2 linked regions of the Nothobranchius furzeri genome follow. The protein of the gene in region 1 purifies or fractionates together with the protein of each later gene. This does not show direct contact. Links are inferred from orthologs where the notes say so. Each region holds a gene or a part of one and is shown on either strand. Other genes may lie near its edges.

Evidence for each region.
Region 2: the proteins of pex5 (region 1) and acox1 purify together in Homo sapiens (affinity purification with mass spectrometry; 3 studies listed by BioGRID, with this or other methods). This does not show direct contact. The link is inferred for Nothobranchius furzeri from reciprocal best matches to the Homo sapiens genes PEX5 and ACOX1.

What each region holds. Positions count from the first base shown.
Region 1 is NC_091745.1:74,157,931-74,174,954, forward strand, and holds the start of pex5 (peroxisomal biogenesis factor 5), read left to right. Parts: upstream 1-8,363; 5' UTR 8,364-8,568; intron 8,569-10,083; 5' UTR 10,084-10,125; coding exon 10,126-10,239; intron 10,240-10,325; coding exon 10,326-10,364; intron 10,365-10,478; coding exon 10,479-10,596; intron 10,597-10,706; coding exon 10,707-10,853; intron 10,854-10,962; coding exon 10,963-11,047; intron 11,048-11,480; coding exon 11,481-11,571; intron 11,572-11,783; coding exon 11,784-11,906; intron 11,907-13,850; coding exon 13,851-13,964; intron 13,965-14,266; coding exon 14,267-14,350; intron 14,351-15,818; coding exon 15,819-15,938; intron 15,939-16,020; coding exon 16,021-16,164; intron 16,165-17,024. Other genes in the region: clstn3 (calsyntenin-3), read left to right, coding at 1,722-1,906, 1,986-2,150.
Region 2 is NC_091747.1:74,019,304-74,035,891, forward strand, and holds the end of acox1 (peroxisomal acyl-coenzyme A oxidase 1), read left to right. Parts: intron 1-557; coding exon 558-718; intron 719-2,509; coding exon of another isoform or gene 2,510-2,670; intron 2,671-5,205; coding exon 5,206-5,313; intron 5,314-5,504; coding exon 5,505-5,624; intron 5,625-5,694; coding exon 5,695-5,810; intron 5,811-6,166; coding exon 6,167-6,336; intron 6,337-6,780; coding exon 6,781-6,943; intron 6,944-8,556; coding exon 8,557-8,747; intron 8,748-8,940; coding exon 8,941-9,120; intron 9,121-9,512; coding exon 9,513-9,618; intron 9,619-9,685; coding exon 9,686-9,829; intron 9,830-10,684; coding exon 10,685-10,891; intron 10,892-11,038; coding exon 11,039-11,089; 3' UTR 11,090-11,441; downstream 11,442-16,588. UniProt on the Homo sapiens protein: Involved in the initial and rate-limiting step of peroxisomal beta-oxidation of straight-chain saturated and unsaturated very-long-chain fatty acids.

The sequences.
Region 1 (17,024 bases):
GAAATGAAACTCTGGGACGGAGTCGAGGGCCAAACTTAATATTTTTTGAAAAAGTGACGGCAAATTTGCACATTTTCTTTATCAACATATATGCAATTTTGAACCTTTAAATTTGGAAACAAACTTATTTCTGCATTAACACTGAATGTGGAATAACCAAATTACACACGAGCAAGTCAGTTTTAAATAAAAGGCATCAGTGGTATTCATTACTTGTGGTATAATCAGCATTTTTAAAATCTATTCAGGATTTATGTTTTCTTGTTGTTTATTCGTTTTTCTTATTTTTTATTTTCCTTTTTCTCCTGTAATACGTGTCATCGCTGCTGTGACGTCTAGCTTTCCCCACTGAGGAACAATAAAGGGATTTTCTATTCTATTCATCTATCTGCAGCCTTTCCACTTCCTGTTTACTGTAGGTTAAATCTTTTCTCACGGGCCAACAACAAAATAAAAATGTAATTTTATCTTAAATGAAAATGCAACATCTCACCTGTTAACTTTCATGTTTTGGAGCAGAAAAAGAGCATAAAACCAACAAATTTAAAGCTCAGTTTATTCCACTGGTTTACTGTGATGCTCACCTGTTCCAGCCAGATACCTGCATCATGGGGTTGACCTGAGCTGAGGAGGAGACTCCTGTTGTTTTGTTCATCTTCATCATAATAATGACAACATTAGATGACAACAGGTGCTCACATAGGTTTGTGCTGATGAACATGTCTGAGCAGCTTGACCACGTTGTTGTGTGTCGGGGAGGAAACACGACCAGTCGTGCTGGTTTGAGCGTGTCGCTGTTCGCTGGAGTTATATCAGTTCTGTCTGGACGTTAGTTTGAAAACTTTCTCTTTAAGCCGTGAACACATTACTGAGCGGCTAGAAACTCCATTTCTGGGCTTCAACGTCAGAAAACAGCTGAGTGAACTCGGCGCTGAGTGAGAGGAGTGTAGTTTGTCCGAGACAGCGGAGCTGCAGACACCCAACTACCCCTGACCTGACTGCCTCGGGCTGGAAAAAACACAAAGGAGGGGGCGCGTCGCCTCCTTGCTGACGCCACAAAGCATCATGGGAGTTGAAGTCTTTGCGGTAAAATCGGCCAGCGGGCCAGTTTTAATATATTTTTGATATTTATCTCGCGGGCCACATAAAAATGCTCCGCGGGCCGCATCTGGCCCGCGGGCCTTTACTCTGACATATGTGATCTAAACCAATACAGAATGATATTTTATAATCTTCTACTGTTTGGGTCAACAAATCTTCAACATTTATGCAAAAAGAAAAAATAAATCTATAAATCACCTTAATAATTAGGAATCTGAAGAGTGAAATTGACAAAAATAGAAGTCTTCCTGTTTGTATTTTTATGTCTCTAAAGCCAATGTTAATTTGTTTCTGTTGACATCTTGACAAAAGGACTCTGTGGGTTTTACCAGCATAAATTAGACAAGTATTGGATTTTTAAGTAGCTATTTAGTCCAACAATGAAAGTGGCTGAGTAAATGCAGCAACCTTTGTTTATTGTTATGAAGATTTGATTTGACCGTTTCAGTAAAGTGGCACATTGAGGCGTTTTTAATATGCTTTTGAGAACAGTGGAGCTGCATCAGGTTTTAGATCAACTCAGATGTTTGTTTCTGCTCATTTTGGTAGTTTCGTGTGATTAAATGAAAACATTTTTATTGAAACTGTTCCTTTGAACGTGGTCTGTGCTTTTTTTACAGTGGTTCCAGGAGCAGCCACCGTCATCATCATGGTGTGTGTGGGTTTCCTGGTTGTCATGGTAATCCTAGGTGTCTTCCGAATTCGTTCCATCCATCGCCGAGGCGACAGTGCAAGGGGAGGGGCAAAGGAAGGAAGCAGCCAATGGGATGACTCAGCACTCACCATCATCGTCAACCCAATGGAGGTAGCACCACTGCTTTTCATTGGGAATAAAATCATAATAAATGAATAAAAAATTATTTATTGACATGTAGTTTCATCAGCGTGTGCTCCCACAGACCTACGAATCTCCTATGGGCATCTCTGCCGACACGGAGGGGGAGGGGGAGGAAGACGAGGAGGCAGCAGAGTCGCCCGACGATGCGAGCGACGACCAGCGAATCATCATCAAGAAGGAGGGCAAAGATGGAAACGCCCGTCGCTACTGAGCCACATGTATCTCTGCACGAGTTCTCATGGAAACCACAAGATCAGCGCTCCTCACACACACACACACACACACACACACACACACACACACACACACACACACACACAAACACACACACACTTTTAACATCAACTGCTGACACCACATGTATAAGGAATGTATGCTTACAAACACAACGCACAATCACTGTAACACTCAACGCCATATGTGACCTATAGCCAACAACCGGCTGTCGTTCTCCACCTAAATGTTCAATGGCACAATGTAAACAGTCAATGTAATTAAATCGCCTAACTAAGCCCCACCAAAATTATATGTGGTCGAAATCACAACACGGTGTCTGTGAAGTGCAAGGCTGGTTGAAAGGGACTGTTTTGTTTAAATAACTGATTGTATTCTTCCTTTCTTAATGAAAAAAGTCAAATCTTCAAACCTGAAGTACGGTTTCTGGGCAAAGACGGAATCCTTGATGTTCACATGTTTGAACTTGTTTAATGAACTGACTCAAAAGGTCTTTGCACAAGCCCTTTTCTCCCTATTTCTATCATCTCCTGAAATATCTCTTCTCCACCACATTGTGAAGGCAATGCGCTCACCTATTGTGTTTATAAAACCTCAAATCAGATCTCCTCACATGCTTTTTTATAGCAAGATTGGTCTCCTACATCCATTCTTTGCTGTATTTTGTTTACCCCCCCCCCCCAACAACATCGGAGCACGCACCAACCTCAGACCTCAACCTTCATACAGGCGCTACTTCTGCAACACTCCATAAATACAAAAGCCTTCAAAAAAACATGAAATACTTTCTAATTCAACTTGTTTTCAGCTTCAAACTGGAGTCTTTGCAAAGTTCCAGCTCGTGCATTAGGATGACAAAAGCAGCGCCTGACCTCTGACCCCCTGCCTGCCCATCCATGTCGCCCTCTGCACCATTTCTCTCACTGTACACTCCTCAACTGAATGTCACACGCAAACACACAAGAACACAGCATCTACATCGCCACCTTAGTTGTTTCCAGAATGTCCGCTCAGCTTGGGCAGTTTTGATTGTAATGAATTTTCTGTACATACAAAATATTGTTATATCTATTATTATTATTATTATTTTGTGTTCACTCTTTCTCTTTCCAGCACATTTTAAGAGGGAGGCAAATTGTGATTTTCTTTCTTTTTTCCATTTAAGGAATCACCTTTCCAGCATCAGAAAATACTATAATGATAATAATGATAATAAGAATACTATTAATATTAGTAGTGATAAGGATGATCATCTCCGGCTTGATGAGTGTCTCTTTAGTTGTGTGTAATATTGTTGTAATTTAAGCATATGTTCATATAAATGAAAAGTAAAAAGGAGGGCACATTGTTGTGATGCTTCAATACGTCTCACTCATTCATGCATTAGACTGCAGGGTCATTTTTCTTTCTTCCCATTTAAAGATAAAATGCTTTTTATTATTATCATTATTCCAAATCTTATTCAAATGTCATTTTCAGTCCTCTGAATGTACAACTGTGTGCTTCTCCTCACCTTTCCCTCCTTCCACCTTCCTGCCCCCCCCCCCCCCCCACACCTCTCCCTCCGTGTCTCTTGCTGTCTGTCTGTGTAGCCTATTAATGTGCAGTGCGAAGGCTGTCAGTACATAAAGCCTGTTGTTTTTGAGTGTGACGTTAAGAAGGATTAAACATTGCATTGAATAATAACTTATATTATTACTATGTTCAGACTTTATCTGTAATAATTATAAAATGCCAACATGGATTATGCTAAGTAATTAACTGTGGGAAAACGTTACAAAATTCATAATAAAAACACTATATGACATCTCCATGAGATGGTTTCTTTATTAATGTGGTGGTTCTGCATACTGGAGGGCATTTTTATCAAGAAATCTCATTTTTGAAAACAAATAAGTAAAATTCACTTTAAAATAGATTAATTTTGCTGTTCGAAAGCTTCTCAATTATGTATCCGTCACGTATAATTTTCTTAATTGTAATTATTGATTGAAATATTTCCTACTTAATAGAAAAATTACATTTTCCTCAAACCAATCAGGTAGGTAATTAGGCTTTACTTACAAATACATCTACCTACACAATATATTACCAATGATTTTCTCAAAGTAAGTAGAACTTCACGTAACCCCGTCCCGTGTCGAGTCTACATATTTTGATTCAGGATTCTTCCGAGTTTGGAAAACTCCAAATCTCGCGAGAATTCATCTTACAGCGCAAGTTCAGTTCAGGTTTGCTTTTAGCACCCCCTAGTGTCAGGTTAGTGAAACCAAAAGTGAAACTTCTTTTCTTGCTGTGCGTCCGTCTTAATCTAACTGCTGAAATGTCTCAAATTTCTACAAGAGCGGCTCATCACCAAATCTAACAAATTAGATGTGTTTTAATCTAAAACATGCAGGAAACGTGCTGGAAGCAGACTCCAGCGCCAGGTATTTCAGCTCCACTATAAGTCCAACAGGGAGCAGCCCGCCACTCTGACAATGCAAGTGCGGCATTCTTGCCACAGAGGGCAGTGAGGAACTGAGTAACATTTCATTAACCCTGTAAAGGTTCATTTTAGCCCATACTGGCTCAAGAAAATGATTTAAAAAATATGAAAAAGTTATGGCTTTAATGGGGAAACAAAGATTTGTGATGTTGTTTCAATGCAAATGTATTAAATATTGAATTATTTTGCACCAATCAGGGCTTTCCAAATAAATTCCACCTTGATACAGTAAATGGTACCTTTAAAATAATTAAATTGTTCAAACAATTTAGTGTCCCCAACTAGAGAAAGCAACTGAAAACTTTCTGCTTTGTATTTCTACACATTTACAACAACAATATTTTTTATTTAAAGGTACAGTAAGTAATCATTTTACAGTGAAATAATCAAAAAATAATCTAACGGCTCAATCATGCTGGAGGAAGGTTACATTGAAACAGATTTCTTTCTCAACAGAGTGGGGGGTTGTCCGTTTTTATCCTTTCGAGGCTGGCGCCAGTCAATGCAACATTTGTAATTTGACACCAGCCAGCAAAAAGCTCCAGAAGTGTGTCAGCAAGCAACAGGAGCGACCCAGGAACTATTTCTTGACCCCTAAGAAGCAAAGACATCCTTGTGTTTTACTCTAATATCGTGTGAGGAAGGCTAGATGCTAACATTGAGCTAACAGTGCTAACCATGAATTAGAAAAACATAGCTGGCTCTACAAAAATCTCAATCTACTTTTTCAACTCAATATTAGATGAAAATGTAGGATACGTATCCACTTATGAACACAATGTGTATGACTCGTCTTCGCTTATCATCTAGAATCTTCTGGAGATCCCTAACTGGTAACAGCCATGAAACAGAGTGGGAGAGGGTCACTTGTGTGTTTTGAAAATGGGCTGCAATACCCAAATTTGAACACAAGATGTCATCCATCCATCATCTGAACCCGCTTGTCCATGCAGGGTCACATGGACTGGTGCCTATCTCCAGTAGTCAATGGGCAAATGGGCAGAGTACAGCCTGGACAGGTTGCCAGTCCATTGCAAGGCAACACAAAAGCACACAGAACAAACAACCATGCACACACACTCAAAAAAACCTGGTTTAGATCCCAATGATTTCAATAACCTCCGTCCCATTTCCCATCTTCCCTTCATTTCCAAAGTCCTTGAGAAAACTGTTGCATCTCAGCTCCATTCCCATCTCACCCGCAATAACCTTTATGAACAGTTTCAGTCTGGCTTCCGTCCCCACCACAGCACAGAAACAGCTCTCATCAAGATCACTAATGACCTACTCATTGCTGCTGATTCTGGTTTAATCTCTATTCTTATTCTCCTCGATCTGAGTGCGGCCTTTGACACCATTTCTCATCCCATCCTCCTCAATAGACTCTCTTCCTTAGGCATCACTCACACCCCCCTCAGCTGGTTTCAATCTTACCTTACTGGCCGCACTCAGTTCATCCAGTTAAAATCCTTTACCTCAGAACCCTCCCCAGTCAAGTCAGGTGTGCCCCAGGGCTCTGTCCTGGGGCCCCTCCTCTTCATAGTATATCTCCTCCCTATCGGCAAAATCTTCCGCAAATTCAATATCCAGTTTCACTGCTTTGCAGATGACACCCAGCTCTACATTTCCAGTAAGCCCAACTCAACTCTCCCACCATCCTCCCTTACACTCTGCCTCTCTGAAATCAAATCATGGTTCACCTCTAATTTCCTCAAACTCAACGGCAATAAAACTGAACTTCTTCTTGTTGGCACTAACTCCACCCTCTCAACATCTGACAGCTTTTCTTTAACTATTGACAGCGCCACAGTCTCCCCCTCACCTCACGTCAAGAGTCTGGGTGTCATTCTCGACAGCTCACTTTCTTTTCAGGCTCACATTAATAACTTAATTCGGTCAGCATACTTCCATCTACGTTCCATAAACCGTCTCCGTCCCTCACTGACCCCTCACACTGCCGCCATTCTCGTCCACAGCCTCGTCACCTCCTGTATCGACTATTGCAATTCACTTCTTTATGGTCTTCCTAAACAAACTCCTTCATAAACTGCAACTGGTCCAGAATTCAGCAGCCCGTATTATCACCAGAACCCCTTCCTTTCACCACATCACGCCGGTTCTCCAGCAGCTTCACTGGCTCCCAGTTAAATTCAGGTCCATCTTCAAAATTCTCCTCCATACCTTCAAAGCTATCCACAACCTCTCTCCTCCATATATCTCAGACCTTATAAGTATTCACACCCCGTCCCGTTCACTCAGATCTTCTTCTTCCATCCATCTTGCGGTTCCTTCTGCCCGTCTCGCTACCATGGGGAGCAGAGCTTTCAGCCGCTCTGCTCCTCGACTCTGGAACTCACTTCCCCCAGACATCAGGAACGTTGACAGTTTTACCCTTTTCAAAACAAAACTCAAAACACACATGTTTAAATCTGCCTACAACCTCTGATTTTATTGAAATGTTTCTCTCTGTTTTTTCTTCTTTGGGTTTTATTATTGTTTTATTGTATTTTATTACGTGTTTTGTGTAAAGTGACCTTGGGTGTCCTGAAAGGTGCTTTTAAATAAAATGTATTATTATTATTATTATTACTCACACCTAAGAACAATTTAGACAGACCAATTAACCAAGAGAACCCATGTGTGCACAGGAAGAACACGCAAACTATTTGAGGCCAGGATGTGAACCCAAGACCTTGTAGCTGCAAGGCAATGGTGGTAGCCACTGCACCATTTGTCATTCTTACATATTGGACCTTTAATAATAATAATAATGGTGTTTTCATTCAAAAATCCACAGATATTTTGCATTTTTTAATAATATGAGCGTATTTTCCAGTTTAGTGCATGCTTCTGTTAGATTTAGGAGCTAGAATTTGTTAAATCAGGCTGTTGAACTGCAGGTTTCTTGTTTACAAAAGTATGAATGAGCAAAATTATTATTACCTAATGAGAACTTTGACGGTTGTTCTTTTTTGTATACAGAGCTCAGTATCTCTTTTATTTGTCCAGAACAACCAAAAATGTGAACTCATCTGACCACAGAACATATCCACTGTTTTTTTGTCCATCTGAGATGAGTTAGTGTCCCAAGACCTCATCATTGTTTCTACACAGTGTTGATTTATTGCTTCCTCTTTGCACAGCAATTTTACATTCCTGGATGTAGTCATGGCTTTTGTGCAGTGGTAATGGTTTTCCAAGGGGCCCCCAAGAACACTTGGCTGATCTGATCACTGTAACATGAAGAGTCTTCGTGCTCAAAAGCCTGAGGACTTGAAAACCGTAAATACCTGAATGATGGTTTGCAGGTTTGACCTTTATACTTTGAGACTTTCCCAAACTATCCTTTTCCCCAAATGTTGAAAGACTTGGGTTCTTTGGTCAGCTGCACTGAGGATCTTTATTTTTTTCCACCTGGATATTTCTGACTCCACCCAAGCTGCAAAGACAACCTGTGAGGCTTTTCTTTATATTGGCTGACTAATTAGTCAGTAAATTATTAGTTAAACTAAAAACACAAGATAGGTTTTCCTAAAATAAAAGACTCCACAGAAGGGAACATCTCTTGCTTTTGTTGGACTTTAGTCTCTTGCACATATTTTTACGTAAACGTACGTGCTCTTTTGCCTTTAGAAGCCCGACTTCCACGTTCGTAAATATTTGAAGAATACAACTACGTAGAGTACGTAGAATTACGAGCCTCTTGCAGCTCGGTGAAAGGTTTTGTGGGTCATGGAGGAGGAAGGTAAATAGAAAAGAGGCGCTACTACGAACACACAGCGGAGGCTGTGAGGCGGTGCTGGAGGATTTGTTCTGACCCAGCTTTAGCCCAGAAAGGATCCGGCGAGGACGGAAAACAGAGCGGCGCGGAGCGACTGTTCGGCTACAGCAGGAGGAGCTGTCGGCGGTGAGATGAACATCACGCTACCCCGTAAACACACTCCTCCTCCGGGTGGAGACCTGTGCACTGGCCCTGGGTTGCTAGCTTGCCAACTAACACTTAGCACATCTATTTTAAAAGCTAAATTGTTGCTAATTGTTTTCATCTTCTTTTTAATGTGCTGTTTATTGAGCCCACACGAGGCTACAAGAGATAACAAAGCTAATGTTGTTGCTGGGTCTTTAGCTAGTTAGCGCGTGGGCCATTAGATATCTGAACGCTGACTGACAGGTGTGCACAATTCAAAAACATCTTTTTTATGATTTCAGTTTTTTTCCACAAAAGTGGGCCATCTGTATTAAAACTACAGCATGTCTCTTGAGTAGATGTGTTGTGTACAAACATGTGTCACAGTGGCCTATCAGTGATAATGTCTGTATTAATATCTTTGTCTAAGCCTCTTACTTTGACCCTAATCATAATGCAGCAGCTGTGTGATTCAGTAGGAAAACTCACGTCCACATTCTGCATGAGAGCAGCGACTCCGTCCACCTGCATGGACGGGGTTGTGTAATGCTGTACTTGGTGGTTTAGATACAAAATAAGAGCTGAGTGGAATTAAAAATCTGTTCCACGCATTTCATTATGGAAATTGTTTCACATCCCTCCAGGGAGAGTTGGAGATTTTGAGTAGGCTAAATGTACCCTTTTGTCAGCTGTTCATTCTTGGGCATGGAGATCAGTGATCAGCAGTAGTTCTATTGTTTGTATATATGTTTAAATTGTGCTGTTACTCTTATTTTGGCAGATCAGGTGAGTGACACAAATGATTTACTTATACCAAATAATTCCTATAAAATAACTGTAATCTGTTATTTTTATTTTGCAAATATTGTTGCCCTTTCCTCTCATCGACAATGTTGCTGCTAAAATGAGCCGAACTTACTGGAAGCACGGAGCAGATGATATTTGTGTGCCTCCTAGGCCATTGCTTTCTCATTAGTAACGGTTCGAAAAAGCCAGGAAGTGATGTAAAAAATGACAGATGGGAGTTTAAACTCGTCGATGCAACGTGAAGCCACTTGTGCAGCTTCCAGGTTTCTCTTTTCTGACCCATTCACTGTAAAATCAAAGCAAAAATTATTTGAGTTGTCCTTCGGACGTTTAAAAACAAATCTGCAGTAAAAATAAACCTCCTTTTCATTGTGCTTTGTTCAGAACGTGTCTGTTAAGGTACCACTTGGGGATTTACTATGCGTAGGTACAGAAGCATCTGCAGTCCAGACAACCTAGCCAGCTGCTGTGGAAAATATGTTTTTGATTCACACTGGCCAATGATTTAGTTCAAGCTTGTTTAAAATATTTGAAAGAAATCTGCTTAAGCAGATAAGAGGACGAAAGCGTCACCAAGCATTTGTAACGGTGTTAGATCTCCTGTTATTATTAACCAGCTGTGCTGCACTAACAGCAATGGGGGTGTTACTGTTATATTGAGAAGGTTTAAAACAAACGCAGCAGTAGAAGATTTCCTTCTGTTCGTAGTCCTAGGTGGTGTGGTTGGCTTTGCCTCATCCTTGTGTTGCCATGGCGATGCGGGAGTTGGTGGAGGCGGAATGTGGGGGGGCCAATCCCCTCATGAAGTTGACCAGTCACATGACCAAAGAAGAAGGAGCATGGCGGCACCGCTTGACACCCACAGTGAGTTGTGTTTCTTTTTTTTTATTTTATTTTAATTTTTTTTTGTTTAGCTGCATCATTTATTTATTTATTTGAACTTTTTTCAGATTCCCCCCACACCCATTGAAATTGCAACAGAGGAAGAGGTCGGTGATGTTTTTCGTCAGGCATTAGAATATTATTCTTACCACGTTTCTGATTTCTGGATGTAATCTCTCAAATAGCCACTTTTAGCCTTTTTTTGTGTTTTTATGTTTTAGTTGGTAAATGAATTCCTTCAGGCGCCTCCGCGACCCCCACACACGTTTGACATGGGTCAGTTGTTGGAAGAAATGCAGCAAATTGATCAGCAGAGCTACAGACAAGCTCCACAGAGAGGTATTTCATGTGTATAATCTTTTATCTTATCTGCTTTATGTCCCAGTTTTAAGAAGTTCCCGTGTGTTAATAATGCAAAAACAGTTTTAAGAAGCATTTCCTGGTCTTAGCTCCAGATGTAGCAGCACTGGCCCTCTCGGGTGACTGGGCGGCCGAGTTCCTCTCGGGTCCCGACTCTGCTGCCACACAGGGGCTGAATGCTCTCGGCGAGGCGGCAGATGCTGATTGGACCAAAGAATTTATCGCTGAGGCTGCAGGTAATTTGAGTCTGTGTTTCACTCCGTGCACTCGTTCTCTCTGTTTTATAATGAGATCCGTGACAAATCTGTCTTTTTTTGCTCACTGTTTTTCCTTCTCCTGCTGCAGATCCTGGACGCTGGGCAGAAGAGTATCTGGAGCAGTCTGAGGAGAAACTGTGGCTGGGGGACCTTGGAGACAAGGAGACTGAATGGTGAGAGCAGAGCTTGAATCGCTTTATGAGTGTCGGTAAAGCCTGAGCGCAGGAAAGACACTTGTGGGGGAGTAAAAGCAGAGAGGAGCACGGGACAAAACAAAAGATGGCCGATCTGAATGCAGAACTAAACCTTGAGAATGTTGTTGACGTCGTGTTAAGCGGATGTGTCGGGATAGATTTTAATTTCTCCTTAACTTTTTCTCTCTTCTACTTTTTTTGTAATTATACTGAGCTTATTGTGAGAAAAGCTCTCACTGAAGCATTTGATCAGAACGAATGCTCATGTAATGATTATCGGCCTTGGACTTCTCTTCACTGGCAACTATTTCAAAGTGCTGCTTTCAGCCTGAAATCATTTATTCCAGCCTGCAGAACCACGAGTAAACAGAGCTCTTACTGCAGCGTGATGGTGGTATTTTTGATCTGACAGGACAAAGGAGTATCAGGCTGAGGATGAGCTGAGACAAACGGCCAATGAGCTTGTCTCAAAGGTCGACGACCCCAAACTGCAAAACACCGAGGTGAGCAGCGTTTCTTCCACCCGTCGGGGATCCTCTTTATGCTGCACATCATTCGTTTTTACACATCTGTCACCATAATCTTCCTCTTCTGTAACATTTTCAGAGTAGATTTGTTTTTGTGAGACTGTTGTTTTGGTGTCGCAATCAATGAGCTGCTAATTTGCGAGACCTGACGGGTTAGTAATGGTAAATATTTTTTTGTTGTTGTGTAGTTCCTGCGATTCATTAGGCAGATTGGCGAGGGCAGTGTGACAGTGGAGAGCAGAACAGACAAACAGCTGACAGATAAAGTTCAGGCCGAGGAGGCTCAGAACTGGGCCTCCAACCTCAACCAGGTATGAGTCACAGCCCACTGAGGAGGGGGTGGTTTCAACTGGGAACACGTTAGAGTTCGGGTAGCGAATTGGCTCTTTTTTTTTTTTTTTTGCACAGCAAAGGCTCTGTCTCGTGACTCATCCCCTCAGTATCTGTACAAATTTTCCACAAATGTAACCAAATGAAGCCACGTTCTCCCTGTAATATGAATCTCAAGCCTGTAGAGAAGATGTGTTCTGCAAAGAGGACGGCTTCTCCTCGTGTGAGGGTAGCTCTTTGTTCCTGTGTCGACTCCGGCCACGGCTTTCTCAGAGCTGCAGCGAAATTTCCGAAATTCTGGTGCCAGATTTTATTTTTCAGCTAAGCGTGGAAGACCGTATCTGCCAAGAAACAAAGAAATACTAAATAAACAACAAACAGTAACTAGTTTATTGAAAAAGAAAACATAGAAGCTTGCCAAACTGGAAAAGAATAAAGGAGAATTGAAATGGCAAGTGGCATAAATGAAGATCAGGAGCTTTCCTTTACTTCAGCTTTTAAAAATTTAGAAGTTGACTTTAAAATATCAACTTTACATTTATTGTTCAGGATATTTGGTCTAGTAATTAAAACAAAACTTACAAGTAGTTTTTCTCCATCTTTAAAGTAACACAGAGCAGGTTCCTGCTCCTCCCCCTACTGGCTGAAAGTGGAATTACAATTGTCGTAAACAACCCTGCTGCAGCCTGCTGTAGCTAGCGCTAACAACGAGCTAACACTAACACGAGACAACTAATACTAAAATAAACCATGAAGTAAAAAGATTCACACTGTTGGACAAAAATATTACTTACAAGTCCCGTAGCAACAAGGCCAGGTCACCATCAGTCCGTGGCTTTTGTAGCCTCCTTCAGCTCCCTCAAATTTGTGTAGGCCACGCCGATGTTCACTCTGGTTTTAGCTCTTTGCTTCACCTCCAAAGACATTCCTCTCTTACTTTTACTTCCAGGCTCCGCCATGACACCAGCCTTCTTGTGCTTTTTATTTGACGATCTGCATTCTGAAAATGCTAACCGCTAGCATTACAGCTAACAGCCATAAAACAGGTTAAGACCACCCTCTACAGGGCACCTACCCGCTCCACAAAATGATCAAGCGTGGTTTTTGGCCAGCAGAGGGCTGCAGAGTGGTGTCAAAGATTAAACTGATCAAGTTTCTAACTCAATAATCACTGAGATCAATATTAAAGCTCCAGCTTAAAGAATCTATCTGTTGTTACTTTAACCCTTCAAAGTGTAAAAGGCCGAAACGCCCATCAGTTTCTTGCTCCAACACACCTGATTCATTGGATCAATCACCTGTTCACCAGGCTCTGCAAAGGCCTGTTAATCACCTGCTCATTGAATACAGGTGTGTTGAAGCAGGGAAACTACTAAAACATCCAGGATACCGGCCATCCAGGACCAGGATTAGGCACCCCTGAATGCTCTTTTTTTTTTCTTTCTTGCAGACTTTTATAATTTACTTCTTTTAATTTGTTTATTTAGAATTTAAAAGTGTTTACTGTTTTCCCCTTAGCGCTATCGCATTGGTCCATCATGGCTTTATGTTGCATTTGAAATGGTTTAAGCCCAAATTCTCTGTCCTAATTTGTTGCTTTTATTCCTTTATTTAATGCTCTCTTTTTCGTCCTTTTCTTGGTGAAAATGGGTTTAGACTCTTAATCCTGCTTTGCTTGGACTGTTTATATTCTTTCATATCCTTTGACTTTGACACATACTGTTCCCATTTTTGACCAGCCTTCAAACTCTTGGCTTGGCATTCCCTCAACAACAAAAAACTGCTTTCATTTCTTACGATTGTGTTTAAAACGATGCTTATTCCACCCACCCTTCCAAAACCAAACCTCCCCACCAACTGCTTCCTTCCCCTCAAAAACGATGTCCCCGCTTGTCACCGCCACCCCTCCTCGCCTCCCATCGTAGTTCCTGACGGAGACGGGGGGAGGGAGTCTTCCCTTGGAACCTCCAGAGACGAATCACCAGATTGACAAAGTTAAAGCTAAACAAGCAGAGCAATGGGCCAAAGTCGTCAGGCAGGTAGGCCCTTTGGGGTCGTGGCAGCAGAAGGTGTTTATTTTTTGTGTTAGAAGTTAATTTTTGTCTATTTTATTCCTACGTGAACATTTGAGATGCAAGTAGCGTCTGATGCTGCTAGAAGTAGAATTAGGAAGAAGTAAAAGCGGGTTGTAGCAAATTACCTAGTCTCTGCTTTCATCGCTGCTTCCTTTATGTTCTGGCTTCATCTCGCCTGTTTTTAAACGTCCCCATCCTTCGTTCTCGTAGGAGTTGGCGTGGCCAGTGAGAACAGACTCGTAGCAACCGTTGTCATTTCTCTTCAGGTTTCAGAGGAGTCGGCGGAAGCCTGGGTGGACGAGTTCGCTGCATCTGGGCCAGATTTTCAACAAGCTAAAGCGGCGGTGGAGGTAAATGTGAGAAAACCTCTAACCCAAATGTGGGGTATAGGGTCGTCACGGTGTGAAAATTTAACCTCACGGTTATTGTGACCAAAATTATCACGGTTTTCGGTATTATCGCGGTATTTTTTTAAACGTGTTAAATTTTCAGACCACTAAATAAACCCTGCTGTATGTCAGGAAAAGATTGTCCGCAGTTTGTGTCTAAATTTTGTAGGGCTGCAGCTATCGAATATTTTTGTAATCGAGTACTCTAATAAATTACTCTTTTGCGTTTTGTAAACCCTTGTATCAAATAGCATGTTATAAAATATGAAAGACCTCTTGAAATGAGCAAGCAATTGCCAGTTATTCTTCAAGTTTTATTCAAATTTAGTTTTCAAAACTTCAGCACTTCAACTTTACGTCACAGTAAACAAATTCAAGCGGCTGCAGCCCAAACAGAACCAGAACCGCTCACGGCGCATGCGCAAACATGGCTCGCCAGCTGTTTCCCTATTAACACACGTCCGTTTTAATTTCTACACTTTTTTTCTCACACTAACAAGGATTGTCGAAAGCATGTTTACCGTGGTTATGTCAAATTATACTGATCACAAAACATTTATTTACTTCCTTTCGTTTTCCTCCGCCGCTCATAAATACCGGTGTCCTCCTGCAGCAATCCTGAGGGAAAACAGACATCAATAACAACACAGTGAAAAGTCCGACGTGTTGTAAAAACTGTTATTTTTAGCACATTTTAAGTCCAACGTGTCCCTCCACCGTGTCCTGGGTCTTCCTTTAGGTCTCCTCCCGGTTGGACGTGCCCGGAAAACCTCACCAGGGAGGCGTCCAGGCGGCATCCCGACCAGATGCCCGAGCCACCTCAACTGGCTCCTCTCGATGTGGAGGAGCAGCGGGTCTACTCCGAGCCCTTCCTGAATGACTGAGCTTCTCACCCTATCTCTAAGGGAGAGCCCAGCCACTCTTCAGAGAAAACTCATTTTGGCCGCTTGTATCCGCGATCTCGTTCTTTCGGTCACTACCCAAAGCTCATGACCATAGGTGAGGGTAGGAACGTAGATCGACCGGTAAATCGAGAGCTTCGCCTTCTGACTCAGCTCTCTCTTCACCACGACAGATCGGTACAACGCCCGCATCACTGCAGATGCAGCACCAATCCGCCTATCGATCTCACGCTCCAGTTTTCCCTCACTCGTGAACAAGACCCCGAGATACTTAAACTCCTCCACTTGGGGCTGTAGTGTAATGGTTTATGGTCTCACTCTGTGGGTGAAAGTTCTGCGCGCCCCAGCTTTGACCCAGCCGGGCCAAGTACAACCTTTGGCACAGAAAACCCATATTTCCTCACGTTACAGGGCAGAACCTCATCCCTGATGATAAACGTATTATTATTATTAAAGGTCAAACCTGTCTGTGATACAGAAGGATGTAATGAGGGGTAAAGTGATATTTGTATCTTTCATTTTGTCAGAGTGATGTGGACTTCTGGGAAAAGCTGCAGCAGGAGTGGGAGGAGATGGCCAAGAGAGACGCAGAGAGCCATCCCTGGCTGTCTGACTATGATCAGCTGCTCAGCTCATCTTACGACAAGGTAGCTGATCAGAGCAGTCGGGTTTGTGATGTTAGATGTTCTGACCTTGCTAATCTCCTCTTCTTCCGTGTGTCTCCTGTAGGGGTATCAGTTTGAAGAGGACAACCCCTGCTTGTCCCATCCAGACCCCTTCTCAGAAGGATTGAAGAGGTTGGAGGCGGGGGACATCCCTGGAGCGGTCCGATTCTTTGAAAGCGCCGTACAGAAGGAACCAGAAAACCAGCTGGTGGGACTTCCACGCTCTCGTGTTTTGCTGGTGTATTTTCTCTCGTCCTAAGCCTGATTCATGCTTCTCCGTCAGCTCCAACAGGGAGAGACGCGCACGCACGGACGGAGACATTTTGCTCTCATACTTCTCCGTCTCCTGGAGTGTTGCAGAGCAATTCCCCGCCAGGACAACAGAGGGCGTAGCGCTGTTCTGTGGTATCCTGTCATGTATCGGTCCAAGATACAGTGATCCCTCGTTCATCGCGGTAGATGCGTTCCAGACCTGGCCGCGATAGGTGAAAATCCGCAAAGTAGGGACACCATATTTACAGTATTTATTTAACAGGAGAGGGAGCGCAGCTGATCCTCATCAGCCTGATCAGCGGGACGGCTTTAAAAGGAGGGCCGTTATCCAGATACGACGCCGGATGATTAACTACTGCCTGACTCGCTTCTCCTCTGGATTCGCTCCCGTCTTGGAGACTTCTGGATACTCACCGGTTCGCTGCCTGGATACCAACTCCGCTCTGCCGTCCCGCTCTCCACCGTGCTCACGCTCCCTCTCCGTTTCCTCGTCCTCCTCATCCGTTTACCCTGCCACCTGGAAATCTACAATTCGCCTCTGGATATCACCCTGAACTTCCGCATTTTGCCGCTTCCTGGTTTACCCTCCGCTGGATCACCAGTGCGCCCTCAGTTCTCCTCATCATTAAAGAAATAAAATTATTGTTTATCTTTTACCTCGACTCGAGTCTGATTCTGTATGTCTTGGGTTAGACACTTACCCCAAAACATGACAGAAAAATACCGCAAATCGGCGAATTTCCCTTGAATAAGGCTCCAAAGAAAAAATCCACGAAGTCGTGAATCCGCGATAAA
Region 2 (16,588 bases), on another chromosome or scaffold:
GGACGATTGGGATCAAATGCCGATCCATCGGTGCATCCCTAGCGAGAATGAGTATTCTTGGAATTCGGACAGTACCCGTCGCTGCGCTGTGACGTCATCGCACTCTTACAAGCATCCTTCCCGTGGGTTTGGACACACCCTTAGTTTGGGTCGCTGCTGTGAAAAAAGTGAGGTGCCAACCGGAAAAGCTTCTGCCGCTTACACTTCGACAACGGATTGTTAAAGAACTGTTAACGCTAGAAACCCGCCGATTCTTCCTGATGATGTAGGAAGTGAGTTTCCTTTTTCAATTGGTAGTTTTGGCGTTTAAATGATCATAGAGCACAATGTTTTGTGAATTTTTAAAAAACAGTAAAAACACTCATTGGCAGTCGGGATTTCTGATCAGGAAACGGCTGGCAGTGAATACGTTAATTTATACTAGAGACAACTGCTGGAGTGTTGGAAAAACAAGTGAACTTGGTCTTTAAAAGGCCTTTTGAACCTGGTAGCTCAGGATAATCTCTTGTCTGCATTTTGAGGAACCGTAACTGAACTTTGACCTTCCTTTCACCCAGTATGGTTAATGGCAACCATCAGGAGGCCTATGGGCTGCACTATACCATGTTCGTCCCAACCCTACAAAGCCAGTGTGACCCCCAACAGGCCAAGAAATGGCTGCCTCTTGCTGAGTCCTACCAGGCTTTGGGCACATATGCTCAAACCGAGCTGGGTCACGGTCAGTCCTGTTCTTGGGTTGGAGATCAATCACTAGATTTGTTTCTTAAAGCAAACTTTACGTGATCTTAGATGGCACAGATTGGCAGGATTGTCTTTAAATGATCACCACACGTTGTACTTGGGTCAGACACCAAACCGGGTTGTTCCATAACCCAGCATGAACAGAGTGGAGTTTTCTTGGACATGTTTGACGGATCTAAATCACGAAGAACAGACACGGCAGCTTCAGGATGGTTTTGTTCAGCGGCTGGATGTTTTCCTAACAAGCCACTAATACCCGCTTTATAGTACATGCTTAGCAGCGTCTGTGTCCCTAACACCTAGATGTTTAAAACAAACACTTTTAGAGCTAACCTTGTTTTGTCTACAATCCCATCCACACTACTTTCAGCTCTCTCACTTCTCTCCCATGCGATGATGATGATGATGATGATGCATCTCGGGTGCTTTCTGATTGATGTACTCTGATTAATTTCCAGCTTCTACAAATCATAACCAAAGTTTGTAAAAAAAGAAACAAAAGGTGGAAAATTATCCGTACGGTTGGGTCTGTCTTTGGCTTCACTGCATCTCGTGTGATCAGACTGAGAATATTTTACATTGATCTGTGTGAGTTCAGTGGTAATCCTGTGCGGTGTGAAAGTGTGCTCGGGGAATCCAGAATGAGGCCTCTGAAGGTCTCTCCGTAATCTGAAAGGCAAATCTGTGGGAGTGAGAATGTACACCAGGCTCTCCACAGAGTCATCTGTTACTGAAGGAAGTTCCTCAATTTGTAAATAATTGGTACACATTTACTCTGAAAATGTGGAATATATTTACAGCACTTTCTGGTTTAGTCCGCCATTGGACCAGGATCCTACAAACCCTCCCATACTGGTGTCAAACTCGTGCAGTTACCAAAAACTTGGAATGGAACGAGCATAAGAAGTATTAGCTGTGTTGCCTTTAGTTAAGGGGGAATAAACCCAAACCTAACACATGGTTCTGGTTGGGATCATTATCCAGTCCGTTACGTTGGCGGTGAGAAAGTCTCAGAAACAGAACAGAGAGACCTCTGGGAAACATGTGTAATTCTCACCCGACGTGTAGCTGCTAACTAACATCTCATCCTGATCAGATTTCCTCAGCTGTGATGCAGACGCAGAGATGAACAAAGGTTTTATTTCTTCCTTGAGGCAGGAAACTCAGGATACACATGTGAATCATAGCTAACTGACATTTAGCACACCCAGTGCTCTAAACATTCACTCTGCTAAACTCAGACCCAGAATTAATCCAGGATTGTCCCAGGAATGAGCCTGGAGCCAGACTGGGTCTTTGGTCCAGTTTAACACGACTCCATGACAAGTCTAAGAGGACTGGTGATCCTAGAGGATCTTCCCAGATGTTCTCTAGTGTTGAAAGTAAAACTGAGATGGGTGATCCGAACCAAAACCATGACCGTGTGCTACCCGTGAGTTTTGTGAGCCGTTCCTTCCCTGCCAAAACGCACTTGAATGGGAAAGAAGATGGTGGTAAATGTCAGTGTTGAAATCAGCACTTCCAATATGCATGTAATGCTCAAAAACTGTTTTCTCTGTTGCCTCTGCTTTTATTGTTTGTTTGCACAACCACACCTCCCTCTCCTTCTCTTCTCTTCCCTTAAACTTGAACCGTATCAATCATTAACCAACAACTCCTCTGTGGGTTCTCTAAACTCATCTCCTGAAACTCTTCATATTCCTTCTTGCCTTTCCCACATTACTGCTTGCTTTGCCTTTTCTGTTTGCCTCTGTCTTGCTTGGCCAAGTTGTGTGCACCCAGGTGGGCCATCGCCCTTGGACCTCCATTTGGTGATGTTCCTGCCCACTCTGCTCAACCAGGCCACCCCAGAACAAATGGAGCGTTTCTTCATGCTCACCTGGAACCTAGACATCATCGGCACCTACGCTCAGACTGAGATGGGCCACGGTAAAATAAACAGACCCGTTCTGAGCAGCAGGACAGTTTCACACAGGTCTCTTCAAACGTTCTGGTTGTATTTGTCAGAAAATCCCAAATGACTAAAGGATTTATCTCTTTAAGGCTGCAGGGATGTAAACGTTTCAGCGTTCTAGGAAACAAGTTAAAATGTTTGACGCATTCTGTTTGAGGTCCAATCCACCCTATTCCAAGCCCTCAAGACCCTTTATGTAAAATATGCGACCTGCCTACCGTTTACATGGCAACCATAGATGGATGATGCAATCCATTTGTGCTAATCCACTTTTTATGGTCTTTTTAGACGTAAACTATGTGGGAACAGCAGCTGTCACAGCTCAAACGGGACACCGTAACAATCCCTCTGTCTACTGCACTAGACGGGCGGAGGATGACATGAAAACCTGACCAAAGCTAACACGCAGTAGCATTCTAGCTACTTAACTCGGTCACGTCTGACGGCGAAGCAATGAACGATCATAAAAGCTCCGTGGCTCTCCAGGACCTACATAGTGATATTCTCTTGAGTCTGAGTCTTGAGTGCATGTTCCAAACATCGCTCCTGTAGCCACTAATTTCACTTTCTCTGGTTGTTAGTACAACCGCAAACATCGCAACATTTAATTCTTAAAATCTGCACAAAAATGTTAAACCGCTACGAGAAACCAAACCTCACCATGCAAACCAAGAGCTCTGCACCACTTCCGGTATCGTTTCTACATGAGCAGGCCCAGGAATGAGGTGGATATATAGTCTAGCCACGACCCATAGACAAAGCTCAGTCCTGGGGCGAGATCTATAGGCGCTTACACATTGGCGTCGGCACGGTCGGGGTTTGGTGGGGCTGGATGGAGTGAGTTCGGTCTCGAACGGGCGTTGTAGTGTTCACATAATCCGAGGGACTTCTCGGGAATGTAGAAATCCCCGAGCCTGAAAGAGACCCCCCTGGCTAATTTTACTCACAAATCATAGGCGGTAGGCGTAACTGTCTCTACATGCTATCGAACAACATGGCGTACTCACCGCTATGGATGTCCGTCTGCGGGGCAGTCGCCATACACCGGTGAAGACACAAATACATCTTTTTTCTAAATAAACTCAAGTACCTCTCTCTGCCCTGGACTCAAAGACAAGTCCAAGTCTAAATAGTCCAAAGTTGCCGCCAAAGCCATTTCAATCAAGCCGTCGCCATCTTTGTTTTTTTGTTCAATCGCAGTAACATCCCATCCACCAAACCAATGGAGTGCTGTGATTGGCCAGGCACAAGACTCTTCGGTCCTGCTGAGACTCCGATGGGGTGTGGCTAGACTGACCTGTAAAGCATAATTGTTTTACTTCTGCGACTGTCTGTCTAGGTTTCTAGGCAGTTATATTTTACAAAACAAAAATATGTTTTCGTGCCAAATTTCAGCAGAGCTGGTGGAGAATGCTGGGCTCTGACTGAAGCCTCTAGAGATGTCTGATCAGAGAAGATTAAGTAAGGTTGAAGGACACACTAAACATTGATTGCGTAATTATTACATTTATTTAAGGCTCCTGTTTGGTGTTTGCACAAAATCTTCATTTCCGCTTAGAATTCCACCTTTAGACCCCTAGAATAGCCACAATTCCTTGGATTCCTTTCCCGATCACCAGACACTCCCAGATAAACTCCCCCTTTGACCAACCCTTTAAACTTGACTAGATTTTATGTTTTTAACACGGGTCGTAATCTGTTTTTGCTGCAGTCCAGCTAAACTAGCAGGACGTTCATTATCTCAGAGGATGCTTGAGATCTGTCAAACACTACAAGATGCTCTGCTTTACTCTTTTTTTTATATCAAATTAAAACAAAATTTTAATTGGCTTTAAGGAGCTTTGAAAGAAAAGCGTCTGGACTTCTTTGAGTTGCTTGAAGACGTTTCACCTCTCATCCGAGAGGCTTCTTCAGTTCTAAGGTCAAATGGTGGAGAGTCCCAGATTTAAACCCAGTGGGAGTTTCCCCCCGAAGAGGGGACAAAAGACCCCCTGATGATCTTCTACAAAAACACATGAGCCAAGGTGTGAGGGTGGGTGTGGGTCCTATTCAGCCAGAGTTTCGGGTGAGCTCGTTGTGAAGCCTGGCCCCACCCTATCATGTGAATTCCTGAGGTCAGGATATGCGTGGGCGTTGAGGCATCTGGGAAGGGATCTCAAAACTGGATTATAGATGGCAGACAGTTGGTGTCTTCAACGTCCGACGTCTTGAAACGTCTTCAAGCAACTCAAAGAAGTCCAGACGCTTTTCTTTCAAAGCTCATTAGACTACAATGACCTGGATGACTGAGAACCTTCACAGACTTTAATTGGCTTTGTTGAGTCAGACAATAACCATGTCTTCTGAGCCATGACCTCATTTAATCTATGCTGTTCTCTTGCTAAGAAATGATCCTGTCGTGTTGTTCAGCATCATCTATATGTAAACACGTCCTAATGCCTAACTCTACCTCTCTGTTTCTTTAAAACTCTTCTTCCTACATGTTGTTTGGTGGGCTTTAACCTCTCTAGGCACTCACCTCAGAGGCCTGGAGACCACAGCGACATTCGATCCAGCCACCCAGGAGTTTGTGCTGAACAGCCCCACCGTCAGCTCCATCAAGTGGTGGCCCGGAGGACGTGAGTACATCCACGCTGTTGTGTCTCTGGTGCAGCTGGGAATCACAAACTCAATAAGCTGCGTTATCATTGGCCAGTCGCTTCATAAAAATCCACTTTATGGGTCAGCTTCTGTCTTTGTTGTAATTTGGTTGGAGAAGCACTGATCAAAGTGGATGGACCAACATAATCTGCCCACTTTGTGCTTCCAGTGGGGAAGTCTTCCAACCATGCTATAGTCATAGCCCAGCTGTACAGCCTGGGGAACTGTCACGGTTTGCACGCTTTCATCGTACCCATCCGCGACATGAGCACACACCAACCTCTACCAGGTAAACTCGACTCGTCTTTTCGTCCTCGTTCATCACCTCACCCTGTTCATACGGCTCCTTTCCATCCCAGGTATTGTGGTCGGCGACATCGGGCCAAAATTTGGCTTCAGTGAAGTTGACAACGGCTTCCTGAAACTGGAGAATGTGAGGATTCCACGGGAGAACATGCTAATGAAGTATGCTAAGGTACGGTGATGAGAATATCTGAGCAGACTTTAAAACCACAATCATCTACCCAAGGTTTGCCTTCAGTCTAGCTACACCCCTGCTTGTTGCGGTTGTTGTTTCACCATTAGAGAGGGTTCATGTCTGCTTTTATTTATCAGTTGTGACCACTTATGGTGTTTAACCTTCTTTTTACAAACACGGTGTGTTCATGACTTACTTACTTTTGGTTGCTAGCTTGTAGCATTTGCTGTGTTGAGCTAAAATTGTCCCTTTAGGTTATTTTACTGTAGATGGACGGAAATCTGAACAAGTTCCAGATGCATGAAGTCCTTATTGCAGATCTGGGTGTAAACGTGACTCTGGCCCTCCTCTAGGTGGAGGCAGACGGTTCCTATGTGAAGCCACCCAGCTCCAAGCTGACCTACGGCACCATGGTGTTTGTCCGCTCCATTATTGTTGGCGAGTCTGCTCGGGCCCTCGCCAAGTCCACCACCATTGCCATCCGCTACAGCGCCGTCCGTCACCAGTCTGAGATCCGACCCGGGTCAGTCAGCACAACAAGCAGATCAGATCAAAACAAATGTGTCTCCCATGGGGATTGTTGTTGCAGTACGGAGAATATGCTTAAGGTTATGTGTTGAGGTTGTTCTAAGTGCAAGTTCTGGACGTTTACATCGAGTATTTTTCATAGAAAACACAAGAACCAAAGACAGGTAGACATGTAGAGCATCAGAGGAAAGTAGAACCTTGGAATTATGGGATTACAGAGACTTTTGTGTTATTTCAGGAAATACGTGTTATTTAAAAATGATCAGTAAAATCCACAATCTGAGATGCTTCCGGATCAAGATGCATTAATGCATGATGGCTCTTGCTGCTACAACATCATGAATAGGGTTAAAGCAAACAATCGGAAGAATAAAAATGGCACTGTAAAATGTGTGTGTGTGTGTGTGTGTGTGTGTGCGCGTGCGTGTGTAATCCATAGAGAGCCGGAGCCTCAGATCCTGGACTACCAGACGCAGCAGTACAAGCTCTTCCCCCTGCTGGCTACAGCCTACGCCTTCAGTTTTGTTGGCCAGTACATGTCAAAGATCTACCACCGCATATCTGGAGACATCAACGACGGGGACTTCAGCGAGCTCCCTGAGGTACCAGCCACACTGTCACGTTCAGGAGTTACAGTCATGGGGAAAAGTTAAAGTCCCATTAGTCGTCACACACTTTTGAAATTACATCCTCGCATTTGATCCATCCTCTGGGGGAGCCGCAGACATGTCCGCGCTCAGGAACTATTTGGAAGTCCACCTTTCGGTGCTAGAGTTTTACTTATCAGTCTGAAAGAGGCTGATTAGTTGCTTCTAAAATTGTTCAAGTCTCACATCAACCCCACCATCAACCTGAGGACTTCTGGCAGAACGAGATTAAACTGAGATGTTTACCCATAATGCCCAGCTCCATCAGCACCCGATCTACAAGCAAGCAGCTTAAAAAGAAAGGAGCTGAGGTTCTGTACTGGACCGGTTAAAGTCCAGACATAAGCGCTGGTGCTACAGAGATGGACTCGGCTTTAGTTTCATAAGTAAAATGTCAACTATTATTGTTGTTGTTGTTGTTATTGTTATTGTTATTATTATCATCATCATTGTCACTATTATTATTATTATTATTATTATTATTATTATCTTTATCACTATTATTAGTATTATTAATATTATTATTATCATCATCATCATCATTAGCACTTATTATCATCATCATTATTACTATTATTATTATTAATATTATTATTATTATTATTATCGTCATCTCATCATTATCACTTAAAATCATCATCATCATCATTATTATTACTAATATTATTATCATCATCATTGTCACTATTATTAGTATTATTAATATTATTATTATCATCATTATTATTATAATCCCTATCATTATTGTTATCATTATTATTATTATCACTATTATTATTATTAATGTTATTATCACTATTACATTATAATTATTACCATTATTAATAATTTATTATTATTAAAATTATCATTACTGTTATTAATACAATTATTATGATAATCATTATTATTATTTATCATCACTATTATTGTCATCATTATTACCATCACTATTATTATTATTATTATTATTATCATCATTATTATTATAATCACTATCATTATTATTATCACTATTACTATTATAATTATTATTATCACTATTACTATTATAATTATTATCATTATTAATAATAGTAATTATTATTAAAATTATCATTACTGTTATTAATACAATTATTATGATCATCATTATTATTATTTATCATCACTATTATTGTCATCATTATTACCATCACTATTATTATTATTATTATTATTATCATTATTATTATAATCACTATCATTATTATTATCACTATTACTATTATAATTATTATTATTACTATTATTATTAATGTTATTATTATCATTAATGTTATTATCATTACTATTATAATATTATTATCACTATTACTATTATAATTATTATCATTATTAATAATAGTAATTATTATTAAAATTATCATTACTGTTATTAATATAATTATTATGATCATCATTATTATTATTTATCACCACTATCATTATTATTATCATAGATAGTTGTTTTATTAAAGCCAGTTGGAGCAGGAAGATGGAGGTCGGAAGGTGAAACTGACTGGAAATCAAAGCTGATGCTTGTACCGCTGAAGCTCTTCTTCTCTGCCCCGTTGCTCTTCCACCTGCAGCTCCACGCCCTCTCTGCGGGTCTGAAGGCCTTCACCACGTGGGTAGCTAACTCTGGTATCGAAGTGTGCCGCATGTCATGTGGTGGCCACGGTTACTCCCGGAGCAGCGCCTTACCGGACATTTACGTGGCGTTTACCCCCACCTGCACCTACGAAGGAGAGAACACCGTTATGATGCTGCAGACTGCCAGGTGACTACACAGGAATAAACAGCCACGAAGGCCACTACCTGTCGGGTCCGTTCCTTCAAAGAGATCGTTTTAGTTCATAAAACTAAATACTAAAGCACCGCTAAACCCACTCACCTGTACAGCTGCAGCCTGCAGACGCGTCTGTGACTGTAGCCACGGTGAAACTGTCGTCTGTAACGTTGGGTCTGTGCAGATATCTGGTGAAGAGTTACCGGCAGGCTAAAGAGGGCCAGCAGCTCAGCGGCATCGTGTCGTACCTCAACGAGTCACAGAACCGGAGGCTGCAGCCGCAGGCCGTCGCCGCCCAACCGCCTGTGGTCGACGTCAACGATCTGAGCAGCCTGGTGGAGGTCTACAAACAGAGAGCTGCAATGTAAGAACGTTGTGATTATTTCAGTGGGTTTGAGTTTCATCTTAACGACTCTGGGAGGAGTCACGTTGGTCTCATTTACCAACACCTTTACTGGGGCTCAGATGGGTTCTACTAGAATGTCCGATTGATGATGATGATGCCATCAGAGTCCTGCTTCTGTGGTTTTCTGTGTGCAACCCGATAGCCTTTGCTGATGACATCACTCCTACTGTCTGCTGTAGTCTCACCCAGATCCATTTGCCAGCAGGTGTCTGTTGCGATGAGCGCAAAGTGTGAGGCGGACTGTGGCTCGGTAGCTTCAGACATCAGAACAATCCAAACAAAAGTTAACCGTTCATTCAATCCGTTTGAGTTCCGGTGAGTTTTATCTAATGCACGACATGTGTGTTTAGTCTGGTGGAGATGGCAGCCAAGAGCATCCATCAGGAGCTGCAGCGCGGGAAGAGTCAGGAGGATGCCTGGAACGGTAGCGCCATCGAGCTGGTCCGAGCCTCAGATGTAAGTCCACCCGTGTGCGTGTGCATGTAGAACTGTGGAGAAAGACTGACTTGTGTCGTGACTCCAGGCCCACTGTCACTACGTTGTAGTGAAGGTCTTCAGTGAGAAGCTGGGGGAGGTCGGGGACACAGCGATACACTCTGTGCTGTCCACCCTGGCTCTTCTCTATGCCATGCATGGGATCGCAGAGAACTCCGGAGACTTCCTGCTGGTAAGTAAGTCCTTCAAGATGAAAACCTGTCAAAAACATGTGGTCTCTTCTTATTGAAAACCATGACTCAGCAAATTTAGATCTCATCTGGTTTACTGTGTGAACAAAAAAAAAAAGATACGTTGTTTCTGGTGTTGACTGGGCGATGGTGGCAGAGGAGTTAAGGTTGGTTTATGCTTGACGCGTCCGCGAGGTCCGCACGGCTCCGCGCGGAAAAGTTGCGTCATTTTAACAACCACGCCCCTCCACCGCGCCTCCACGCGACCCAGAGTTTCCACAACGCGTACCTCCAGAAAATTTCTAACCACGCGGACGGACGGATGCGGAAAAACATGGCGGACCGGCAAGAACTAGTATGGCAGAGGTTCGTAAAGACAGACATTTGTATGATTCAGCTCTCAGAGATCACCGTGATCAACATGTTGTTAATAATTCTTGGAGAGAAATAGCTCGCACTGTCGGAAAAGACGAGAACGCTGTTAAAAATGCTGAAATGCCATGTTGTAAACAGTAATTTCTACTTCTACTATGGTGTAGTGTTGGCTGCATGCCGTAGAGCTCCATGCTGCCCCCTACAGTTTGGGAGAATATTGGCTCACCGCAGAGACGAGCCGCACGAACCATAAACGCTGCTAGTTGTGAAGCGCGTTCCATCCGCGAGCCGCATCACCGCGCGGAAAGTGAATGCGTCAAGCATAAACCAAGCTTTAGGTGCCTGCTCCATGATCAGAGGGTTGCAGGTTCGAGCCCCGTCTGCCACCCTCCTTGCCTGCTGGTAGTGGTCGGAGGGACCGGTGGCGCCTGTGCTCGACGACCTCGTTTTCCTAATTGAACATCTCTGGTGTCTATTTTCAGGCTGGACTGCTGAGCGCGCCTCAGGTTTTACAGATTTCCGTCCGTATCAAAGAGCTCCTGTCTCAGCTGAGGCCCAACGCCGTGGCGCTGGTGGACGCCTTTGACATCCACGACAAGAAGCTGAATTCTGTTCTGGGACGCTTTGATGGAAATGTCTACGAGAACATGTTCGAGTGGGCTCGTCGCTCGCCTCTTAATGCCACAGAGGTGAACAAACCATCATCATGTGACGTGAAGAGTGGATATTGAATTTGTAGCACGGGTTCCAGGACCTGGTTATGTCATTAACGTATACGTGGTAATCCTTGAAGTGTTTATTATCACACCTTAAAACCTGTCCCATGTTTTCCTCAGGTCCATGAATCCTTCCACAAATACCTGAAGCCTCTGAGAGCCAAACTGTGAGCTGGTGGATGGACAAGGGCTGCCGGCTGGAACACTAACCCTGCACACATTTTACAGAAAATAAGAAATGGGCAGAATTAGTGAGAAATGTAGCCCCCCCCCCTCCTCTCATGAGGTGAAGTTTATCACGATCAGCTGATATACATCCCACCTGTAGAGCCGTAGCGACTTAGTGGAGGGCAGACACACTTAATAAACACATTTCAGTGACAAACATAGAAACAAATGCTAAATTATTGTTTAATTAGATAAAGTTTGACTTCACAGAAATAACAACCGATACAACAGGAAAACCACAATGGCTGCAGATGTTCTGTGAACTAAATATCCATTAAATTTATATTTAGTCTCATGTTTCATCATCTTTTCTTCACGTCCAGCATCGAGTCGCTGGTGAAGACACGTTTCCCTCCAAGAGAAAACAATCGACATTGGCAACCTTGTTGGACAATCTTTAACAGTTGATATTTTAAGCTTGCACAAATAGACCTTGTGTTGGATGTGCTAAGATTGAGGATGATGTAATTATGACTGCGTGCATGCAGGTGTCTGAGATTGCTTCAGGGAGAGAAAAGGTGAATCTGAGTGAAAAATGATGTTTTGTAATTAAACTTAGTTCTTATTAGAAAAACTGCATCAGAACGCTATCTATTGTGTTCTGCCTCACCGTACTCAGGACCCTCTTTCAGATCCGGACCTCGGAGGATGTTTATCCAGGTCACACCTTGGCTGGCAGAGGAGACGAAGGTGTGCGACGGTCCAGTCCAGAGTTGACCTCGGTACACGTTGATGAAGCGTTTAGCAGACGCGCTTTCTCAAGTTTAAGTTAACTCAGAAATCAAAGACTCTGGGACGAGTCTGCGTTAGCTAGTTGCATTTCAGCTATCCTGTCTGGCTTGACAGAAATAACGTGGGGGGGGGGGGGGGGGGGGGGAAGAGCCGGCAGGGCTCTTTTCCCCGTTGGCGTTTGTTCCGCCGTCCGCTCTCTTTCGTTCTCAATCTCGTGAAAGGGCTGCAGAGTTGTAGTAGACCAATAAGAAAGATACGGTGTTGATTTAAAAGAGACTAAAGAAGGAATGCCACTTTTTTATTTTTACATGAGATATTTTATTATATTGAAGCTGATCGACCCTAAAAGAAAATCTTTACCCTGGAAATAATTTTTTTGTCAAACACTGAAAACCCAACAGCAGCAGTTTAGCTCAGGCAGTTTCCTCACTGCGTGAGATCAGATGGGATCATTTAGTCTCTCTGCTTTCCAGTTTATAAGTGTGTGTGTGTGTGTGTGTGTGTTTCTGAGAGAACTGCCTCTTCATCCGTGGAGATGATGGTCTGATGCTGTGTGATGGATGATTTCAGCAGTCTGCACGCTTTCCTGCTTTTGAATGTCGTTGAGCGGCAGAAAGATTTCTGCGTTTTTTTGCTGCAGTTGAAGTTAGCTGTAAAAAAAATAAGCTGTTTGAAAACACACACACACACTCACCACGTGGGGTAGCTTTTGTTTTAATGATCCCATTTGAACTGTTCAAACCTGAAATCTTCAGTTCTTACTCTACTAATGCTGCTTAAATAAAAATGCCTGCAACCTCCAGCCTTTTCGGGTTGCTGCAACCTGGATTTTTTTTAAACAAAATTTTCACCAAATTAAAAAAAGCAACAAAATACCCATAAATAGTTTTATAACATTTTGATATTGTAATCCCAATGGTGACAAAAGAGCGCTTTACTCAAAGTATCACTATAAAATGTTGATTTATCTGGAAGAAATGTGCCTGAAAACGATTTCTGCTCTTAATCTGGAATTTTTACATTTACAAAAGCTAAGCAGCGTTTGCTTTCTGTGGGAAATAGCAGTTATCGTTACAGTGTAAACTGTTGTTAAAGCAAGCATGTGGAGTTCATCATGCTCTTTGATCAACAGGGATTTCAGTTTGTCTTAATGTTGAGTAAATAAACAATCATTTGGTCTGATTTTCTTGATCATGTGTTCACAAACTTATTTTAAAGATGTGATGAGGTCTCACATTTGTTTCTCCATTGTTGCATCCCCTTTGTGCAGCGTCCAAGAGCACGACGCCATCCCTATACATTTCTGGTAAACCACACATTTAGCTTCCTTATCTGAACACCGGAAACGAACCCTAATCTTGTTTTTGTTCTTTTGGGAATATTACAAGGGAGAGGAAGTAGGAGGGTGGTAAAAGGGAAATATGTCTAATGTGTTCTATCATGTTTCTCTTATTTAACTAAAATCACATTTAAAACTATTCATGCCTCCAGAAGAAAGAAGAAGAAAATATCATTTCTATAGCGCCTCTCAAGATAAAAATCACGAGGCGCTTCACAAAAACAAAAAATGTAAAAATATAAAAAAGCATTTATAAAATGTTTAAAAATATATTTAAAATGAACAAGAATAAGCAATTGCGATTTAAAACAAAAAATGTTAAGAAAGAGAGAGTGAATAGGAAAGAGGGAAACCAGTGGATCCTGAGGAAGGTGGAATAGGTGGGGAGAGCTGAACAAGGAGAGGGTGGAGAAGGTCATACAAAAGCCAGCTTGAACAAGTGAGTCTTCAGCTGCTTTTTAAAGGAGTTCACTGAGTCCACTGATCTCAGGCTCAGGGGGAGAGAGGTCCAGACACTGGGGGCCACAGCAGCAGATGATCTGTCACCTTTGGTCTTTAGCCAGGTGCTGCACAAGCTGTAGGCTTTGATCACTGGACCTCAGGGACCTGCTGGAGGTGTAGGTACTAAGAAGTAGGGATGCACCGATACTGGTATCGGTATCGGCACAGATACAATGCAAATACCAGTATCGGTATTGGTAAAAGTTAACCGATACCAGGAACCGATACCAATGCAGTTGTTTGAAAATGGCTTCACTGTAACTTGTCATTTCTGTTCACCTAATATTTTAGTTTTGTGATGATTTCCATTCATATATTTTACTTTTTATCTACCTCACAGTCTTTTCCTGTGCAGAGAAGAAAATAAAATCTGTATTCCAAATCATTGCCTTTTTTTGTATTGTAGAAGTATCGGTATTGGTCATCGGTATCGGCGAGTACTCAGATCCATGTATCTGTATCGTATCGGTTTGGAAGAAAGTGGTATTGTTGCATCCCTACTAAGAAGATCATCAATGTAAGATGGTGCTTGTCCATGTAAGGCCCTATAGACCAGAACCAGGATCTTGAAATGAACCCTGAAGTTGACTGGCAGCCAGTGAAGCTGGAGGAGACTAATACCCACATCAACATTAGTCTAGAAAACATTAGTCTCGTTCATGTGGACAGCTAAGTTGAGCTTGAAAGTGTCTTTTGGAGCAAGACCTTCTGTCTTGGTCTTCTCAGCACAGGAAGAACCTGAACTGGCTGCTCGGTGAACACCACTCAGTTCTTGCTCTTGCTGTGCATCTGAACTAGTTCCTCTGTATCTTAGGAGACCAGTTCTTACAGTGGTTAGCTGAGTGGTCACGTCTAGATGACCTGAACTCAAAGAGAAATATTTAACTGACGATCTTGGAAGATGAATTTCTTAACAAATATCTACCAAGGACCGCTTGTTTACTTCTTCACTGACTTCCTCGTTGTTCTTGGTCAACCAATAAGTTAGCCTGGCCTGCCAGACTCGTCTTCTGTTTAATTCTGCACAGAGAAGCGTGGGGCTGGCTGGTCAGGCTACCAATAAGTGCCATCAGTCAAATCATCAGCTATTAAAGACTTATAAATGTGTACATTTATGCATTGTGTTTGCTGTGAAAGAGAAAATCTAGACAGACTAGCAGAAGCAAAAGGATTTTTCTCTGCAGGTCGGTCTAGCCGTGCTCCATAGGAGCCTCAGCAAGTCTACTGTTGGCCAGAGTAGTTTTGTGTCTTGCCAATCCCCGCACTCTATTGATTTGGTGGGCGCGAGCTGCACGAATGCTGCTATGGAGTGAAAAAACAAAGATGGCGACAGATCGTGTGAAACAGCTTTGACATCAACTTTGGGCTGGTAGACCTGGGCTTTAAGGCAAGAGCAGATAGAGGTACCTCCTCTTCTTCGACAGTGTATGGAGGACTGTCTTGTTGACTGACGTCCGTAGTGGTGAGTATGTCACGTTGCTGTCCAATAGCGTGCAGAGACAGTTTGAAAGACAACCATAGAATCCAAGACTGAGCTGTGTCTATGGGTCACGGCCAGACTATATTCACTGGCCACTTTATTGGTTCCACCTCTCCAACTGCTCATCAACGCAAACCACTAATCGGCCAATCACACGGTGGCAATGTGAAGCATTTAGGCATGTAGACATGGTCAAAACGACCCGCTGCAGTCCAAACCGAACCAGAATATCGAAGAAAGGTGATTTAAGCGACTTTGAACGTGGCGTGGTGGTTTGTGCCAGACGGGCAACTGCTGATCTGGGATTGTCACTCACAACCATCTCTAGGGTTTACAGAGAATGTCCGAAAAAGTGTAAACATCCAGTGAGCAGCAGCTCTGTGGGTGACAATGCCTTGTTGATGCCAGAGGTCAGAGGAGAATGGCCAGACTTGTTCAATCTGATAGAAAGGAAGTAACTAAAATAACCACTCGTTACAACTAACGTTCTCTCTCTGAAAGCACAACACGTCCAACCGTGAGGCAGATGGATTACAGCAGCAGCAGAAAACCATACCAGGTGCCACTCCTGTCAGCTAAGAACAGGAAACTGAGGCTAAAATGCACACAAGCTCACCAAAACTGGATAATAGAAGATTGAAAAAATGTTGCCTAGTCTGATGAGTCTCGATTTCTGCTGCGACATTCAGATGTGCTGTTGTTGTGAGTGAATTATTTCTTTTTTCATTCTGTCAGAAGCAAACAGACTTTTCTGATTGTTGGTCAGCATTGTTGGCTGATGTAGTTTAAAATATTCTGATCAGAGTCAGATCAATTCAGACTGAATATTCACAGCTTTAGTCTTGTATTAAATCTGTTTACACATCTCTACCCATATGAATAAGATAATATATCCTACATTCATATTATTAAATAAAACTAAAACAGTACTGACACATAAACAGCTGTTTTATAATTAAAATGTCCAGGTTGGTCGGTTATCATCTGGCTAATGGGGAGCGTAAGTCTCCTCCCCTTCTGGCTGGCTCATGGGTCCCCCATCAAAAAAAAAAACAACTGAATGTTAGTGAACTGGGCTATAAAAGTTATTTTCTTGTCTTTCTGGGCTTTACCTTACGCCCTGAGTCACATCTGTCAGCATGGACGTAATTTTCACTTTAGAAGTGGGGGGGACACGGGGGTGGGTGGGGGGGGGGGTCTTTACAGCATGCTCTAATGGGAAACAGGCTTCAACACAAACGGTTGTTTTCCGCTTGGTCCTAGAGCTCAACCACTGTCAATTTAATATAGAGTAATATTGTTTTGGGATGGTAAAAAGTGCAGGGGTCAAAACTTGACTTTGGAAAAAGTGGGGGGGACATGTCCCCCCTGTCCCCCCCCCCCCAAAATT